3 linked regions of the Arabidopsis thaliana genome follow. The protein of the gene in region 3 interacts with the protein of the main gene of each other region in a pairwise test. Each region holds a gene or a part of one and is shown on either strand. Other genes may lie near its edges.

Region 1 (4,453 bases), on a different chromosome or scaffold from region 3:
AACATGAAGTTTGTAGCAATGCTCTGCTCTCTGCTGTTATCAAGATAAGAACAGAGCATTGTTTGTCTGCTGTACTTTGTGATAGGCAGAGTGATGTTCTGTTTTTACTATCTCATTATCTCTAGGCCATAGAATATGGAAGTCTTTGTAGCAATGATCTGCTCTCTGCTCTTATCAAGATAAGAACAGAGTATTGCTTGTATGGTGTAGTTGTTGTGTACGTTGTAATAGGCAAAGTGATGCCCTGTGTTTAAAATCTCATCTTCGTCTAGGCCATAGAACTTGGAAGTCTTTGTAGCAATCTCTATATTGATATGTGGACTGGACTGAGATATATGACCCACCTTGGTGCAGTTCCTACATATCTCTATGGAGCAGCAGAAAAGGAGCAGTGCACCCTGGATTCGATCAGAAGAAAGCTGGGGTACTTCAAGGCAAACAGGGAGGGACATGAATGGGCAGGTGGGTTTGACCTGGAGATGGTGCCACTGAAGCCAGACGCAGGGCCACAAGAGGTGAGCAAAGCCAAAGGGGTTGTAGCGGTTGGGGCGTGTGGGTGGGTAAGTAACTATAACGTGCCTGTCATGTCAAACGATCTCAAGGCAGTGAGGAGAATAGCGAGGAAGACGAGCGAGAGAGGAGGGGGCTTGGCTTCAGTGCAGACAATGGCGCTGGTGCACGGGGAAGGAGTCATAGAGGTTGCCTGTAACTTGTTGAATCCAAGCCAAGTGGGGGGAGATGAAGTACAGGGACTGATCGAGAGGCTTGGCAGAGAGGAAGGTCTGCTTGTGGGAAAAGGGTATTATACGGACTATACACCTGACCAGATCGTTGAAAGATATATGGACTTGCTCAACAATTCATAAATTTCAAAGTAAAAAAAGTAAAAACAGTATGATGTTGTCATTCTTAGAACGTATTATTACCGACATCGATCATTTATCTTCATTTTGTGTTTAGATGTGATATACATTGCCATGAGTGACAATTGAAATTAGCAAAGATTAAATAAAAAGTGAAATGATAAAATGATGGTACGTTCATTGAGAGGCCAAAACATCAGATCTCATCATTGGTGTTTTTCCTCAACAACTGTGAGAGATTTGTTTTGTGTAGCCTCGTCTTTTGCCGTGGTTCTTAAAGCTGTTGTTTTCTTAGCATTTTGCCTTGTTTTGCATATATCTATATGGCAATGCATGCAAGTCATTAACTAATGTATAGTGAACTATTGGTAGCATCGTGACCATGTGGTAATTAACAATCTTTGTCCTTCAAATTTATATATATGGAGGTTGTGGTCTATATGATTTGTTAAAGTGAAAAGACAACTGGTTTTCTATTAATTTGGTCGTAGGTGAAATTCGAGGGTCAAAAGTCTCTAAAAACAACGTGGATGAGGTGGAGTTTGGTGCGGCTCGTTATTGACTTGAGTTCTTCTTGGTCATTTTTTTGGGTTTGCAACAAGGGGAAGGAGGTTAAAAGAACATTTATCTTTTTCTGTTTTATCACTAATTATTGTGTTGTTTTATTTGATATAATCAATCAATAGGTTAAAAGAACAAGAATAAATTAAAAAATTCGTCAAAAACATCAAAACGAGAACTAATTTGAAACACAATTTAACTTCTAAACGACAACTAATTTGAAACGGAAGGAGTATACGTTACATTTAGACAAAAAAAATGTAATTTATGACATGCCTACACACATTGACGTAGACAATTAAAGGTTAGGTGTGTCCTTGTATATGTGTATACATGTACATACATATGTATGGGCACATTGGAGTTGGGCCGCAATGGAGAATAAGGACCAGATGCGACTATCATACACCTAACTCTTAAGAAAAAAAGCATTATTTGTGTACATAAATGGTAGACCCATGAAACCTGTAGAGCTCAAAAGTCACAAGTAAAAGAGAGAAAAGAAAGAAGAGAAGAGGTAATTACATGTGGGTTTAGAGAACAACTTTACTTAATCTCTTCTCTTTTATCATCAACCAACCATATATGGACAATTACAAGAACACATCTATGTATGAACGTTAACGTAGATAATATTATAAAATATTATTCTAAAAATTAAAAGATTCACAATTCCCATGCCTCACGACTTGTATTTTTCTTTGGCCACCTAATTTGCATCCATCATCTCTCTGTCTCTATAGAGAGTTTCTTTCAAATCCCCTAAAACCTAGAAAAACACCAAAGTCTCTCTCTCTTTTTGTTTTACTCCAAAAGCCTTTTACCTTTGAGATTTTTCTATATAATTGTCAGATCCTTCGTTACTACTGATGCTAGCTCCTTTAGGGCTTTTTCTCGTTTACTCATGTCAAATTACCTTCTTGTCCCTTGGTGTTTAGGGCTCTGATCCTATATAATAATACTTCATAGGAAGGAGAAGGAGCCCTTCGTCGTGGTTTACTTGGTCCCGATCGGAGATGGAGAGAGAATGTGGGTCGAAGGAGTTGTTCAGCAAAGAGGAGCTACAAGAAATAAGTGGAGTCCATGTGGGAGACGATTACGTCGAGGTCATGTGTGGCTGCACCAGCCACCGTTACGGAGACGCCGTTGCGAGGCTTAAGATATTTTCAGATGGAGAACTTCAAATCACCTGCCAATGCACTCCTGCTTGTCTCGAAGGTTCCTCTTCTTCTCTCTCACATCTTTCTATATGCATGTTCCATGTGAATGTGTATGGATTCATGATAGTGTCAAGAATGCAATGTAACTGTTCTTTGGCCTCGGTGAACTATGAGGCTGCTTGTATTTGCTAGATGTGATATGTTTCATGCAGTCTTTTAGAGTGTGGGATAACCTTACATTGTAATGTATCTCCATTTTATATCACAAGTTCGAGTTTCTTTCAAAGTGATCTGATTGACAGCTTTCATTCTATGATGGTAGACAAGTTGACGCCTGCTGCCTTCGAGAAGCATTCTGAGAGAGAAACCTCTAGAAACTGGAGGAACAATGTTTGGGTGTTCATTGAAGGAGACAAGGTTCCGCTTTCAAAGACAGTGTTGCTCAGATACTACAACAAAGCATTGAAGAACTCTAACGTATCGAAAGTCATTCATCGGGATGAGTTTGTTGGGTGCAGCACATGCGGGAAGGAGAGGAGGTTCAGATTGAGGAGCAGAGGGGAATGCCGGATGCACCATGATGCAATTGCTGAGCCTAATTGGAAGTGTTGCGATTACCCATACGACAAGATAACATGCGAGGAGGAGGAAGAAAGAGGGAGCAGGAAAGTGTTCAGAGGTTGCACTCGCTCACCGTCCTGCAAAGGCTGCACTTCTTGCGTCTGCTTCGGCTGCAAGCTCTGCCGTTTCTCTGATTGTAACTGCCAGACTTGCCTCGATTTCACCACCAATGCCAAACCCATTTGACTTCATTTCTCTAACTTATTTAATTCTTCTGCAAAAACTTGTAATGTATGCTCTGCATTTTCTTTAATCAGTAGCTTGTTACACCTGTTATGCGAGTGGAGAGACCAAGTAGGGATCACATACTGGAAAAAAAACCGACTTGGGGCTTGGAAAACTAACTTAGCACCACTACGAGGACATGAATCTAATCTAAATTCAACCATATAACCTCGGCAAATACACACAAGGCAGGAGATCGATAACAAGAAGCAAGCAGTGACTGTAATAGTATGCTGAATAAACTATGTCAAGAATAAAAGCATGAGACAAGAGCAGCTACAAACATTTGGATTAGCCAATATGTACTTGGAAGGTGGACGACATACATGGAGAAATACCTCCAACAAAAATTGGTATCCAAACCAGACAAATAGAATGGAAGGAAATAGCTCGAAAGCATATATCAACATACGTAGTGAGACAATGATTTGCTTAAATCCTGTCTGTTTCAAACATAGGATATTATGAAACACAAAACTGTCAAGAATTTATCCATTGCAGACATCATCAGATCTCAAAAGTGATGCAAATTATTTTCAAAATGAAACACAAGACCAGTCACAATCTGCTAAAAGGGAAAACAAAGTGCATGAGAATGAGAGGTCTCTCCATAAAAGGTCTTCCTGGTGACAATGAAACTCATTGTGTACTCTCCACAGGCGTCTGCAAAAAAAACTATGTATAAGGGAAGGAACCCGAAGCCTCTAGGCAATGGAAGAAGAGCAAGAGCTGAAGAGCAAGAGTAAGTACCTCTTTTTTTCCCCCAGTGGCGAGCTTGTATCCACTGTAGAAAAGTAAGCCCCAGCCAGACAGAGAAATAAGCACAAACTGCAGATTGGTCAGGTAACAGAAGGAATCAATTCAACAAAAAATCACAGCTTTCATTAACAAAAACACAGTGTCACAAACACATGATTGATACATACATGCTCCTCTTTCCAGTTTCCTGGGTTCGTGGGCTGTTTCCAGAAGTCAACCTTGGTAGATCCATGGTGATCTGCACAGTACACAGACAAATCCACA
Region 2 (5,419 bases), on a different chromosome or scaffold from region 3:
TTGCCTTTTACTTTACGAGTCCACAATAAACAAACCAAAAACGAAGATCCGCATAAGATTTGGTTAATAATTATACATTCCGCAATTTACAAATCAAAAAAAGGGAAAGAAAAAAAACAATCAATCACATCAGAGTTAATAATGATGAAAGGAGAAGAGATCATCAGAGAAAGATGAAGCATTCCATGGACACTTCAGGGTCTCTCACAGCTGTTACATCTTCTTCCTTCTTTACCTCAGCAGTTACTTTCTCCGTTTCTTCTTCCTTCTTCTTCACCTCTGTTGCTCCGTCTTTCTCCGGAGCTCCTACTCGTTTCTTCATGGGGCTTCTTCTTGCAGAACTCGGGGCACGAGTGGCTGGAGACTGTGAGCGACGCCTCGGATTATCCGATAACCCGCTCCGTGGGAGTGGACCCGAATCCACATTTCGCCGGTTGTGAGTAGGGTTTGGTTGACGAGACTGTCTCTCTCGGACTAACCTAGGACGGAGCTGCTTCCCCTGAGGAGAATGTCGTTCTGCCGGAGATCTGAGGACTCTGTCAGGCCTGTTACGGCGAGAGGTGGAAGAAGAAGGAGGAGGAGGACGGTGAGGTTTGCTGAGAGCATCGTCTTCGAGGATGGACGCAGCGGTAGCAGTTGTGGCAGTGGAGTAGCTGTGAGAGACAGAGACGCTGCAAATGTCGGACTTGCTGTGAGAGATCTCCGGAGCTGGAGGTGAGAGAGGAAGAGGAACTTGAGCTTCTGAATCTGAGACTGTTGGTGCGGAAGGAACGAGGTCGGGGACTGGGACAGGGACGGAGATGGGTATGGGGACGGAGACAGAGACTGATTGAACAACGACTTCTTTGACGGATTCTTCTTCGAGGGGTGGAGGAATTTGAGCGGCGGCGACTGGTGGAGCTGTGACTTTTCCGGCGCTGAAGCAGCATCCCATTTTCTTTCTACTTTTGCTAATTCCTCTCTCTCTCTCACTCTGCTCTCTCGAGAGTCGCGAGTCATATACTTGTCAACTTTAATGGGCCTCTTTCTCATGTTGGCCCATATTCACTATGGGCTCGATTATGCTCTTTTGTTTTATCCACTTTGATAAAGAATCTGATATTTGTCTCATTCATTCATATCTTCAAAGACAAAACGCTAGTGTTTGATTTTCTTTAAAATATTCAAAAGAAAATTATGCGGATGGACAAATATCTCGTTAGATAGCGACCCATCATCGTTGGGATAATTTCAACACACAACTGCCGATTGCCTTGGACAGGGACACCGGACATGTAACGACAGTAAGTAAAATGCTTAATACTTATACTACCAACATCTTCCTTTTGGTCGTCAAAAATGTAGTTGAAGATAAGAACTGACCATCATTTTTTAGCTCATCATCCATCCACTATGTTGCATTTACCTCATTGTTGAATAAGAACGCGTTGAGCAAGCTACTTTTTCATCTTTAGTTGGTTTTGTGTTAAATAAAACTTGAAGTGGAAAGAACCTAACATCGTTGCTGCAAACTTGATATTCGAATATTTATAACCACCATCTTAAAAACAAAAACAAAATATGAGAAGTTTAAAAACATGACAAAACTTTGAGTAGAAATCAGAAAGGGGCCAAGGCTCGTAAACTTCTAAACCCCAAGCCCATAATAAATGTTTTGAATCCATAAGTTCACTCCCATCCGCTACTCTTTTTTTCAGTTTCTTGGGAACAACTAGGAGGAAAGAGAGTTTTTAAAGTTCAAAGTAAAGATGTTGTTATACAAAAATTGTGTTGACAACTTATTCATATTCATGTCTCTGTAAAGATGTTGACATAATTATTTCACTTTCTTCAAAAAAAAAAACTGGCGACATTTTCTTTAATTCTCATTTATCCATTATGTACTTTTTGTTTTTGTTTTGCAACCCATCCATTGTGTATGTACTTAAGATAACAACAACAACAAATATACCATATATAAATCATATGGTCTACATACAACACTAGTATCCTCATCCGTATTAAAAAAATGAGTTCCTCGAACACATATAGCTACAAATATAGAGATATGACTTTGGGGTTTGAGCGCATTGCAGAATACCTAACAGGCATAGATGTCAATGACGTCGTCGTCATGTACTTGGTTACTAGTTGTTTTATAGACAACTAGTTGATTAAACCTTTTCTTTTAACAATTAAACAAACCAACCTTTATATATTTCTTCAACTTTTATTTTATATAAAAAAATAGCCAATAGGTGTGGTGGTGAAATGACTCGGTAACCAATGAATCCTGGTGAAAGGGAAGAGCCAAGAATTTGCAGAACCTCAAAGGAAAAAAAAAGGACCTTTGAAAATTACAAAATCAAGAACTTCTTGAAAAGAAGTAAGTACAAGAAATAGAAAAAGGAGTTATGACATTATAAAACCAAAGAGGAACCTGAAACAATTGACACAACCCTATTCCTCAACTTCTTCTCTCTTATGTCTTATCAAAAGCCTCTCACCCACCGCCTCTGTTCCTGCTCCTCTTATCAACCATAGAAATTCTCTCTCTCTTCCCTATATACAATACAATGTTATGTAGGTGATACATACTATAACATAGTTGTATATAAACATTAATATAATGGAGAGGTCCCATGCCCCCACGAGTTTTGTTTTGTTGGCCAGCTAATTCGCATCCTTTTTGTTTTGTTTGTATAAGAGAGTTTCTTTGTTACTTACTATAACCACAAGACCACAAGAAGGCCAAAGAGAGGCTAAACTAAAAGAGCTCTCTTTCTAATTTATTTCTCTCTCTTCTCTTCTCCCGAAAAGCCCTTAATAAGCTTTTGCTTTGATATCAGATCTCTCTTACGGCTTTTGAGATGCGTGCTCCTTTAGGGCTTTCCTTTTATACCCCAAAACGAGGCCTTTCCTTCTTCTCTCATCTCCTAATTCTACCCTCTTCCTCTTCCTCTTCCTTCTCTCTCTCTTCTCATTCTCCTCATACGCTATAAGGAGAAAATCTCAGAGAGAGAGTGATGGCGAACAATGAGGGAGAGATGCAATGTGGGTCCATGTTGTTTAAGCAAGAGGAGCTACAAGAGATGAGTGGGGTCAATGTTGGTGGCGATTACGTTGAGGTCATGTGTGGTTGTACCAGTCACCGATACGGCGATGCTGTTGCTAGACTTAGGGTTTTCCCCACCGGTGACCTTGAAATCACCTGCGAATGCACACCTGGTTGCGATGAAGGTCTCTCTTTTTTTGTCTCTACTGTCTCTTTCTCGTGTCTTTCTGATGCTTTTGGGAAAATGGGTTTTGATTTGTGTGCATGTTACATGTGAATGTGTGTGAGATTAAACGTTTGTCTCTGTCTAGCTACTATCACATTGGGCTGGTAAAGCTAGGGTCTTTAGCATGATTACATATTTATCAATGAGTCTTAGTGTATGCTAGCTAGATCCGTTCTTGTAGAAAATGAAATGACTTGATTTGCCACAGTAATGTTTTAGGCTGTCTGTTTATCTGTAAATGGTAATGCGTCTCTTTGTTACTGGCCAAGTGGTAGCTTTATTGACAAATGATATGTCTCGCTTAGCTGTACGTGTATGTCAAAGTTTGATGCAACCTAGTTCTTGTGGTATCTTGTAGCTAACAATTCCATCTCTAGCTTATTTGGTATAGATGCTCATTTAGAGCTCTCTTTGAAAGTAAAAGTGACTGACTTGAACAGTTTTGATTGTATGATGCTAGACAAGTTGACACCAGCTGCATTCGAGAAGCATTCTGGAAGAGAAACGGCAAGGAAGTGGAAAAACAATGTGTGGGTTATCATTGGGGGCGAAAAGGTTCCATTGTCAAAGACAGTATTGCTCAAGTACTACAATGAATCATCAAAGAAGTGCAGTAGATCAAACAGATCACAAGGTGCCAAAGTTTGCCATAGAGATGAGTTTGTTGGGTGTAACGATTGTGGTAAAGAGAGGAGGTTCAGGCTGAGGAGCAGAGACGAATGCCGCTTGCACCACAATGCAATGGGTGATCCAAACTGGAAATGCTCAGATTTCCCATACGACAAGTAGGTGTCTTTTGTTGTCCTTGTATGTACTTAAGTTTGATGCAAATGATGTATTATATCAATGAATGGTGTGGTGGTCGTAGGATAACATGTGAGGAGGAAGAAGAGAGAGGGAGCAGGAAGGTGTACAGAGGGTGCACACGTTCACCTAGTTGCAAAGGCTGCACTTCCTGCGTCTGTTTTGGCTGCGAGTTATGCCGTTTCTCTGAGTGTACTTGCCAGACTTGTGTCGACTTCACCAGCAATGTCAAAGCTTGAAGAAGGCAGTCCATTAAGAAAAGAAAAAAAAATGTCTGTCTCAGACTTTGTTCGTTGCATTTAATAACTTATTCTAAAACTCCAAACAGTTAATTATCTTATCTATGGGTTGTGAATGGAGCAATTGAAAAAAAAGTAGAAAAAGTTGATTTCCAAGAAGAACATGCAGACGAGCATGCCTGAGTTTAGTGCATGTCTAGATTTTTGGCTAGTGGCAGGGAAAAGTGTTATTAATAGTTTGTTGTTACTCTTTATTTTATTAGCTGTTGACAGCTTTGTGAGACGAAGTTGTCAATGGCACAGCTACTCGGTCTGTGATTTAGCCATTTAGGAGATGGGACATGGAAAGAGACATTTTCTTAATACCCAAAAAGCCCTGACGTCTTGTTTTGAACACAGTAACCATATGGGATCCCTTAAGTGATGTATACTTTTATTATCAACAACAAACATTAGAATCATAAAGACCAAGTCGTCACCAGGTAAAGAGGATACGAGAATAAATTCATCAGAAACATGTGAAACATGTGAAACGTGAAACCAAAGACGTAGAGGCATGTATGAACTTCAACATGTTTTTGTATCAAAAAAGTGTTTTAGAGTATAACTAGACTCATAAAGTAGTACATCGACTCCTGTTCTGTTACAACCAAAATTCATATCTTAAGGATCACATAACTGAAACCTGCATCCACAAATACGAGGCAAACATAGTGTTTCCTTCATCATACATACTAGACTACCTATAAATCAGAGATCAAACTATGAAATCCGCGGATTCATTCAGAGTCTTTCTCGCACGCCAATACACTCCATTGGCTGTCTCTGATGTTCCCAGCTGCAATAAACATCAGAAAGATTGTCAGTTAGCATACTTGACACTAAGTCATAGTATTGGTTTTGGTCAGGGTATTAAGAATCCACTTTACCTTTGTCTCCAATGAGTAGTAATTCTTCCACAGCTCCACGTCTTGACCGTAACTTGCAACAGCAGAATCATACAGCTTCCGGGCATTACTGAGACCATCTTTATCACCTACTGATATGAGGTTGGTCTCTATTTCAATGCAACCTTTGTATAGAACAAGACTGGGACCAGGAAGAGCCAAGAACCTG
Region 3 (7,764 bases):
ACCTCATTCAAAAACGTTAGAAGTATAGCTAGGGTTGTTATACTGTTTTTGATTGAAAATGCTTTTTAAATAGATCATAATAGTATCTTGTTTAACTCACATGCAGCAAAACGTCTAAAAACTGCAAGCATACTGTACTTCTTTACTTTCCAATAATTAAAATTTATATCTAATAAGAAAAATATATATTACTGTATAATCAACGAATAAAATCTCACTTATTTAAATTTCCTGATATATAAACATAGTCTTACAATTTATCATATTTTTATTTCAAGGCATTAATGATTTGTCGAGATGTTGTATTGATATGGTCATGTGAGGAGTGAATAGTTTATTTTTTTTCTTAGAAGACAATTTAAAGAAAATTAGAAAAGAGTTATTAAATTGAGAAGGAATATTTGGGAGAATGAAAAGGGAATTAGAAGCAAATATTTAGGTTCTTTAGGGTTCACTTGTTTTTGTTTATTAAGGGAAACAAACAAAATCCACTTTCTGGCTGAGTATTTTCTTAGGTCTAATATATATTTAACTTCACGTATAATCTAAAAGCATGCATGTTACGTTACAATAATTGATCGAATTCTTTATATGACACTTGGTTTATATACGTACGAGGGCACCTTGTATTGTACACACGTATGCATATATGTATGTATTTGAAGAGAAAGATACTTTCTAAGACAATAATTTCCGTACCTTTGGAAGGCAAAACACAGAGTTTATATATTCCAAATTAAAAGTGGGATAAAAAAATATAATAATTCTTTGACAAAAACATACGAATAGTTAAATACTATTCAATTTTGTATATTTTTCATTATTTTTCAGTATGACATATTTCTGTTTCACAGTAGATAAAGTCAACTCCATAATTTTTTTTGTAGAATTATAAACGAACAATGTGAATGTAAAAATGTCGAGTACAAAGAAAACAGAAACACTAGAATGCATACATTATTACATTCGACACAAACAAGTCAAAAATATATATAAATCTGCCTAATTTTATTTCTTTTCAAGTACGTATTTTAAAGCGACATGTATATGACTTCGATTTGGCTCTAATTGATAGACAACACAAAACGGTCAAACAAGTAGCCGGTTGATATTGTAGTCACATCTCTAGGAACTAAATGTCTATACGAGCTATTCATAAACTCAAGAACGTACTGATATTTAATGTATATTTATCTCTTTAGGTATAGTTGAACAATCTACGGTCAGAAACTTGAATTTGTTTGATTCCAAAATCGTATAAGGAATTATTATAATAAGATGTGAATAGAGAGTGAAGTGAGAAGCGAAGAGAGTGGGGGAGAAAATAAAAAAGGAGTCAGAGAGGACACAGTCTCTTTCTCTCTCTCAAGTCTCAACATATGTATCCCGTCGTCTCCGGGGTACCAAAATCAAAGCACTCTCTCTTTTTTTATTTTATTTTTTTTTGGTTATAATGAAACTTTTTATTTATTTTAGAATAGGTCTTGTGTTTGTTTTTTTCTTCTTGTTATTTATTTATTTAATTTAATTTTGGCTTTTGCTTTGACTATAGATTAGATAGGACAGAAGAGAGCGACCCTTTATTCTCTCTCCTCTTGTACTCTTCTCCAACATTTTTAATTATTATTCTTCATGATAATCTGTGAACATTATTATTTTAAAGATCAATTGAGTTTTTGATTTATTACTCAAATTGTTAAGGTTTTAATGGATGATAATCGTATTAATTTTTATTGTTAAAAGTTGTATGCTTTTCATCTATGAAATTGGTCGATTATTAAATACACTTTACATTTGAAAATTTCATCTACTAAATTGATAGAAAACAAGATTTATTTTGCTATTATTCTTCAACTTTATCTATGGAAATCAAAATTTCAGTAGTTTAAACGAATAAACTAAAACATGAAATCAATTAATCTAGCCGTAAAATAATTTATATTATATTGATAGATGGGTTTACTTGTTGAAAGGTGAAAAAGACAAATTGAAATACCATCCCAAAATAAAATAAAAAGCTTCCAATATTTGGAATATAGCGAATGACAATATTACCCTTTCTCAACTATCGTTTTCCAAGATATACTCTCGAGGAACAACATCTCACACATACACATACACATACATGTACATGAACGAACACACATATATCTCTCTCTCTTACCTGTTTTTAATTTTCCTGGATTTAGTTTTATTCCTTTTTTCTCTTCTGCCTTTGCTTCACAACACACATACCTCTCTCTATCTCTCTCTTCCTTCTTTTTCTCTCTCTCTGCGTCTTACTTTGAGCATGTTTGTTTCTTCAAGAAGATCATCACTCAACTTCTCTCTCTTCTTCTAAGCTTCTCTTTAACTTCATCTCTCTCACTTTCTCCTTTCTTTCTGAGATATAGAGAGAGAAAGAGAACAAAAAAAATATCAAATCTTTCAGACACCCTTTTGACTTCTTTGCCTAAAGAATCTCTCTGCTTTCTCTTCTCCTTAGAGAAAATCATTTTAAATTCCTAAGCAAAACCCTCAGGAGAAAAAAAAAACAAAAGAATAGTCATCATCATCATCACCATCATCATCCTTATCATCATCAACAACTTCAGTGGCAGCAATAGCAAGAGAAAGGTTTCTTTAATTATGTCTATGGAAGGTGTTTTTCTAGAGAAAACCAAAACAAACACAACAACTACTCTCCCTGATCTATCTCTCCACATCAGTCTCCCAGATATTCATCAATACCATCACAATGAATCTTCTAAAGAATCTTCAAGAAGATCCTCCCAACTCGAAAACAACAACCGATCGTCCAACTTTGAACTCTCTTTATCTCATCATAACCATCCAACAGCAAGAATCTTCCATTGTCCTGATCGAAGAACCCTTAATCTTCCTCATCAGCAGCATTACAACAACCCTATCATCAATGGTGTTCATCAAAGGGTCGATGAATCCGAGATTAGTAATCTCCACCGTCCAATTAGAGGCATCCCGGTCTATCACAACCGTTCATTCCCTTTCCACCAACAAAACTCTTCATTACCTTCTCTTGGAGGAGGAGACATGGATCAAATCTCAATCTTAAACTCATCTTCCGGCTACAACAACGCTTACCGATCATTACAATCTTCCCCGAGGCTTAAAGGTGTTCCTTTGCATCATCATCATCATCATAATCAGTATGGAGTCGTTGGATCTTCAGATTCGTCTTCTCCTCATCACCATAACCATCATCATCATGGGATGATCAGATCAAGATTCTTGCCTAAGATGCCGACAAAGCGAAGCATGAGAGCTCCAAGGATGCGTTGGACTAGTAGCCTCCACGCGCGGTTTGTTCACGCTGTTGAGCTTCTAGGCGGCCATGAAAGTACACATTTATATCATAATCACATTCTAATGATCATTCCCATTTTTCTTCACTTTATTCTCAAAGTCTTAAATCTTTTATTCTTGTTGTTGTTGTGATTCTAGGAGCAACTCCAAAGTCGGTTCTTGAGCTCATGGATGTAAAAGACTTAACTTTAGCACATGTGAAGAGCCATTTGCAGGTATAATCTATACTCTATTTGAAATTAAATTAGACACAACAAAGAATCAATTTTTATTTGTTAATTTAGGTTTAATCTAGTCGAGTTAGTTCGTTACCAATCAAGATTTTCTATAATTAGGGATATTTCATAGTTTTCATCACCATCATGTCACTCTCTTCTCCTTTGCGTTTTGCACAAAAACAGCTGAATCAAGAAACAAGGTTTTTGTGTACGTATATATCATCAGAGCAATGAATAGAGCTCCAATTCTGATGTGTTACTTTTATTTTCTTGTTTTGTCTTTGCTTTAAGTTTAGTCATATTTTGGAAGAGATGGCACAATTGCCAAGAAAATTGAAGCAGTTGAATGAATTTAAAGAGAGAAAAAGAGAGAGTAGTTATAGCTTTAAGTGACTGAAACCTTTCAGAGAATTATTAAACAATGGAGAATTGAGATGATAGATAGAAGTTATTTTGGATTATAATTCATTTTTTCTTTTTTAAATTAGGAAGAGGGGACAAAAGTAGTCATCATTACTCAATGATAATAATACAATCTTTCTATTACTCAACCTTCTTTCAGACATCAACCTCGTGGTCTTAAAATCATAAATAATTAATTATATATACATCATCAGTTCCAAGACAAACCCAGAAAACCACACATATGTACTACATATATTATTTATTTAATAATATAAAGTTCATATGTGTCTGCATATATCTCTCCAGTTTGTCATCTGTAATTCTGTATCACATTATACAAAAATAAATCTATTTAGTTTATCAGTATCTTTTGTCCGATATTTATTTTGGTTTTTTCCTGTGTCTTTAATTGGATTTATGGTTTATTCTAGTTTTAGAGCTCTCATCATGCCTTTAATTTTTTTTTTTTTGCAGATGTATCGAACTGTTAAGACCACTAACAAGCCTGCTGCTTCATCAGGTACGTGTGATTCCTTTACACACACACACACATATAATGTTATGCATATTCACATTTCTTTAGTATAGCTTTTTTCAGCTTTATATATGCTAAAGAAATGGTACTGGCTTTTAATAAGAAAGATATACAATTCACCAAAAAATAACATAAGACAGATATACAATAAAGCTTAGGATTCTCCACCAGAATTTTATAGAAATGGAGGTCCAATATAATCACTATTATAGCTTTTTTTGACTACAATATTTATAAGAAATTAGTTCTCAATCAGAATTTGAAGCTGTGATTCGATATTTGTATGTATGTAGAGATATAATGACGTGAAATTATTTCTGTTATTTTTACTATTTGATTCTACTATTTCTACTATTCCCTTTCCCCAAAATAATAAAAAACGAGCCCTAAGATATTGGTCAAGCTCAAGGCTTTTATCCTTCCTTTGATTGAACCCTAAAGTTGAGTGGTCAAAGTTCAAAGCAAACCAAACAAACATATATCCCCAATATTGATGTTCTCTAAGAAAAAAAAATCGAGTAAAAGATTAAATTTAAAACGTGTGAAGTGTAAACTCATATCCAAGCAAAGTTCATGAATTAAGAATAAAGAAAAACCACTTGTTTCATATGGATTTTCTTTAACCAATTAAAAGTTTATTTGGCACAATTTTCGAGTCTGTAAAACTATTTTTTGAGACACATATTAGGTTGGTCAACACGAAATGCTGAAATTATTTTTTAAGAAAAACAATTTCTTCACTGCATTGTCTTTTACAAAAAAGCTTACAAGAATCGTTCAGTTTTAAATGAGATTCCTTATAGGGTATAAGTGATTGATTTGAGACAACGAAACTTGATAAAAAGTTAAAATAAAATTTCAGATGGGTCAGGAGAAGAAGAAATGGGCATAAATGGAAACGAAGTTCATCATCAATCATCGACGGATCAAAGGGCACAATCTGATGATACTTCTCTTCATCAAGAAACTGACATTTCTTCCACACAACCTCGTTGGAGTAACTCTTCACGGTACGTTTACGTATATACGTACATGTATTATACACACGATAAGTATATATAAACATTAGGTAAGAATAAGATTGACGAAATTTGAGATAGGGTTTAGGGTTCTCTCACCTAATTGTTCCTACTTCCTACCAAGTAATTCATACGACAATTGTTTGGTTTATCCCACATCTATCCATTTTCTTCTAACAAAAATAGTTTTTAGATGATATTTTAAGTTTGTTTTCGTTCAGTTTAAGGGGAAAAAATTTGAGTGATGGTTTTGGTTACAATGAGATGAAATTGGTTAGGGTTTATGGCTGATGAACTTTAATTATATGTACCAAGTTTTTTTTTTTAATTATAATTTGGTTTGGGTTCTTAAGATTCATCTAGGAAGACTAGGATAAACGAATTTTGCTTCATAAGTATGACATGTAGATTGTGGTCATATAGCAAGTTGCAAAAAAACGCAATTTGTGTGTAGTGATTTTTATTTTATTTTTAGGGCATCTATACATCAATAAATACAATTTGTCCTTAATTTGTTTTCTTTCTTTTCTTAAATCATAAAATAGAGAGACATGGCCATTAAGTAATAACTGCTCAAGCGACATAGATACAATGATCAGAACTTCATCAACATCAATGATCTCTCATTATCAAAGATCCAGCATTCAAAATCAGGTTCTGATAATTCCCATCTAATCATATTTGTATAGATAGATATTGCCTTTCTTAGTGTTTTTTTTGTCCTTTAATCTAATATAAAGTTAAAATTGGCAGGAGCAAAGGTCGAATGATCAAGCAAAGAGGTGTGGAAATCTTAGTTGTGAAAATCCAAGTTTGGAGTTTACATTAGGCAGACCAGATTGGCACGAGAAATGACTTTCTTGATCAATTTGGATTTTTATATATATTGGATTTTTTATTTTTTTGTTTCATCTTTCTCTCTCTATATATACTCAGAAACATGTATGCAGTATATATCTTTGTGACGATGAAATTCTCAGCGTAAAAGAAGGAGAACACGTAGAGAGCCAAGCTGCTCAAGAGTGTTGATTTTTGCACAGAGAGAGAGAATATCACTACCAAAATGAAGAAATTTGGAGGTTCCTCTTCTCAAGTTCCATTGATGATTTGATTATAAAGTGGATGATCAATGTATGAGTTTTTGTTTTTGGGTTTTCGGGTTTTTAGTTTTTTGAGGTTGATCTGGTGGTGTGATCATAAGTTATATAATTGGAAGATCATCAAAATGTGGTGAAAGTTTGGATATTTTTTTGAAAGCCTCTTGGTTGGCTAGAGGGTTTCAAGTTTTTTTTTTTTTTTTTGCAGCCGAAATGTAGAGAGAGGGAGAGATCTGAGTTGAGATTTCATATGGATACTGATCATTATTCTTTCTTAAGTACATAAAACACACAATGTATGCATACATAGATCCAAAAATCCGTAGACATTGATCACAAAATGTTTCAAGTTGCATTTTGAAATATTCTTATCATTCTTTCTCTGCTTCTTCACAACAAACTCCATAGATCATATTTATATCAAGCTTCCATTAACAACCAAAAGTCGGGGTTTATTTACAAACGCGGTAAGGACGGATTCTCAGTTGGTTGATTCGATGTTTACCTCCCGGTCTTGGTGTTGATGACGACTGATAGTGTTACCTGAAATGGCTGATCCCACCACTGAAACCGATTGCTTAGCCAAGCGTAGGCTTCCTCTTGTTCCCAACCACACCGCATAGAAAAACCCAATCCAACCTGATCCAATACCAAATTCATTTCATTCTTCAATACATATAGGAAGTAACTTGGAGTGTCACTCATTACAAGATTCCAAAACAGAATCAGAGCAGAGTATATAACCAACCTGAAGCTATTAAGACAGAAACGACAGCAGAAACTGTAGCGGTAGAGATGACGAATGCAGCAACGGATAAGGCTCCAATGTAAACACCAGTCAAGCAGAGAAAGAAGAGTGCCAAGAAGCCACCAGCAACAGCAAGTGAAATCAGAAGAGAGATTATGATAGCATTGGCTGTTGCAGCTACAAAGAAGAGTGTGAATACAACCAAAGCCATTGTTGTCAAAAGAACTATTGTTCCCATCTGCAACAACAATAACAAGATAATAACTAATCAACATATAGTCTCAGACACCCACGAAATTTGGCTCAAATGGGTTCAATAAAGCACTAAACTTTTCAATAAAGTACCAAACTTTTCATCAATGGTAAAGAGTTACAGAACCAAGACGATTTAGGGCACAATACGTTAATTTACTTGAGG

Evidence for each region.
Region 1: the proteins of KAN (region 3) and ULT2 interact in a two-hybrid assay, tested with the Arabidopsis thaliana proteins (one study listed by BioGRID).
Region 2: the proteins of KAN (region 3) and ULT1 interact in a two-hybrid assay, tested with the Arabidopsis thaliana proteins (one study listed by BioGRID).

The regions. Positions count from the first base shown.
Region 1 is NC_003071.7:8,964,783-8,969,235, reverse strand, and holds ULT2 (Developmental regulator, ULTRAPETALA), read left to right. Parts: upstream 1-1,992; 5' UTR 1,993-2,440; coding exon 2,441-2,642; intron 2,643-2,906; coding exon 2,907-3,391; 3' UTR 3,392-3,680; downstream 3,681-4,453. Other genes in the region: AT2G20830 (folic acid binding / transferase), read left to right, coding at 355-866; AT2G20820 (uncharacterized protein), read right to left, coding at 3,999-4,093, 4,181-4,214, 4,357-4,427. UniProt on the Arabidopsis thaliana protein: Putative transcription factor that acts as a key negative regulator of cell accumulation in shoot and floral meristems. Negatively regulates the size of the WUSCHEL (WUS)-expressing organizing center in inflorescence meristems.
Region 2 is NC_003075.7:13,982,748-13,988,166, forward strand, and holds ULT1 (Developmental regulator, ULTRAPETALA), read left to right. Parts: upstream 1-2,275; 5' UTR 2,276-3,005; coding exon 3,006-3,292; intron 3,293-3,700; coding exon 3,701-4,045; intron 4,046-4,128; coding exon 4,129-4,303; 3' UTR 4,304-4,695; downstream 4,696-5,419. Other genes in the region: AT4G28180 (uncharacterized protein), read right to left, coding at 164-934; AT4G28200 (U3 small nucleolar RNA-associated-like protein), read right to left, coding at 5,061-5,141, 5,233-5,416. UniProt on the Arabidopsis thaliana protein: Putative transcription factor that acts as a key negative regulator of cell accumulation in shoot and floral meristems. Negatively regulates the size of the WUSCHEL (WUS)-expressing organizing center in inflorescence meristems.
Region 3 is NC_003076.8:5,405,957-5,413,720, reverse strand, and holds KAN (Homeodomain-like superfamily protein), read left to right. Parts: upstream 1-1,954; 5' UTR 1,955-2,628; coding exon 2,629-3,358; intron 3,359-3,462; coding exon 3,463-3,539; intron 3,540-4,421; coding exon 4,422-4,467; intron 4,468-5,344; coding exon 5,345-5,492; intron 5,493-6,046; coding exon 6,047-6,155; intron 6,156-6,254; coding exon 6,255-6,356; 3' UTR 6,357-6,858; downstream 6,859-7,764. Other genes in the region: AT5G16550 (voltage-dependent L-type calcium channel subunit), read right to left, coding at 7,080-7,237, 7,347-7,584. UniProt on the Arabidopsis thaliana protein: Transcriptional repressor that regulates lateral organ polarity. Promotes lateral organ abaxial identity by repressing the adaxial regulator ASYMMETRIC LEAVES2 (AS2) in abaxial cells. Required for abaxial identity in both leaves and carpels.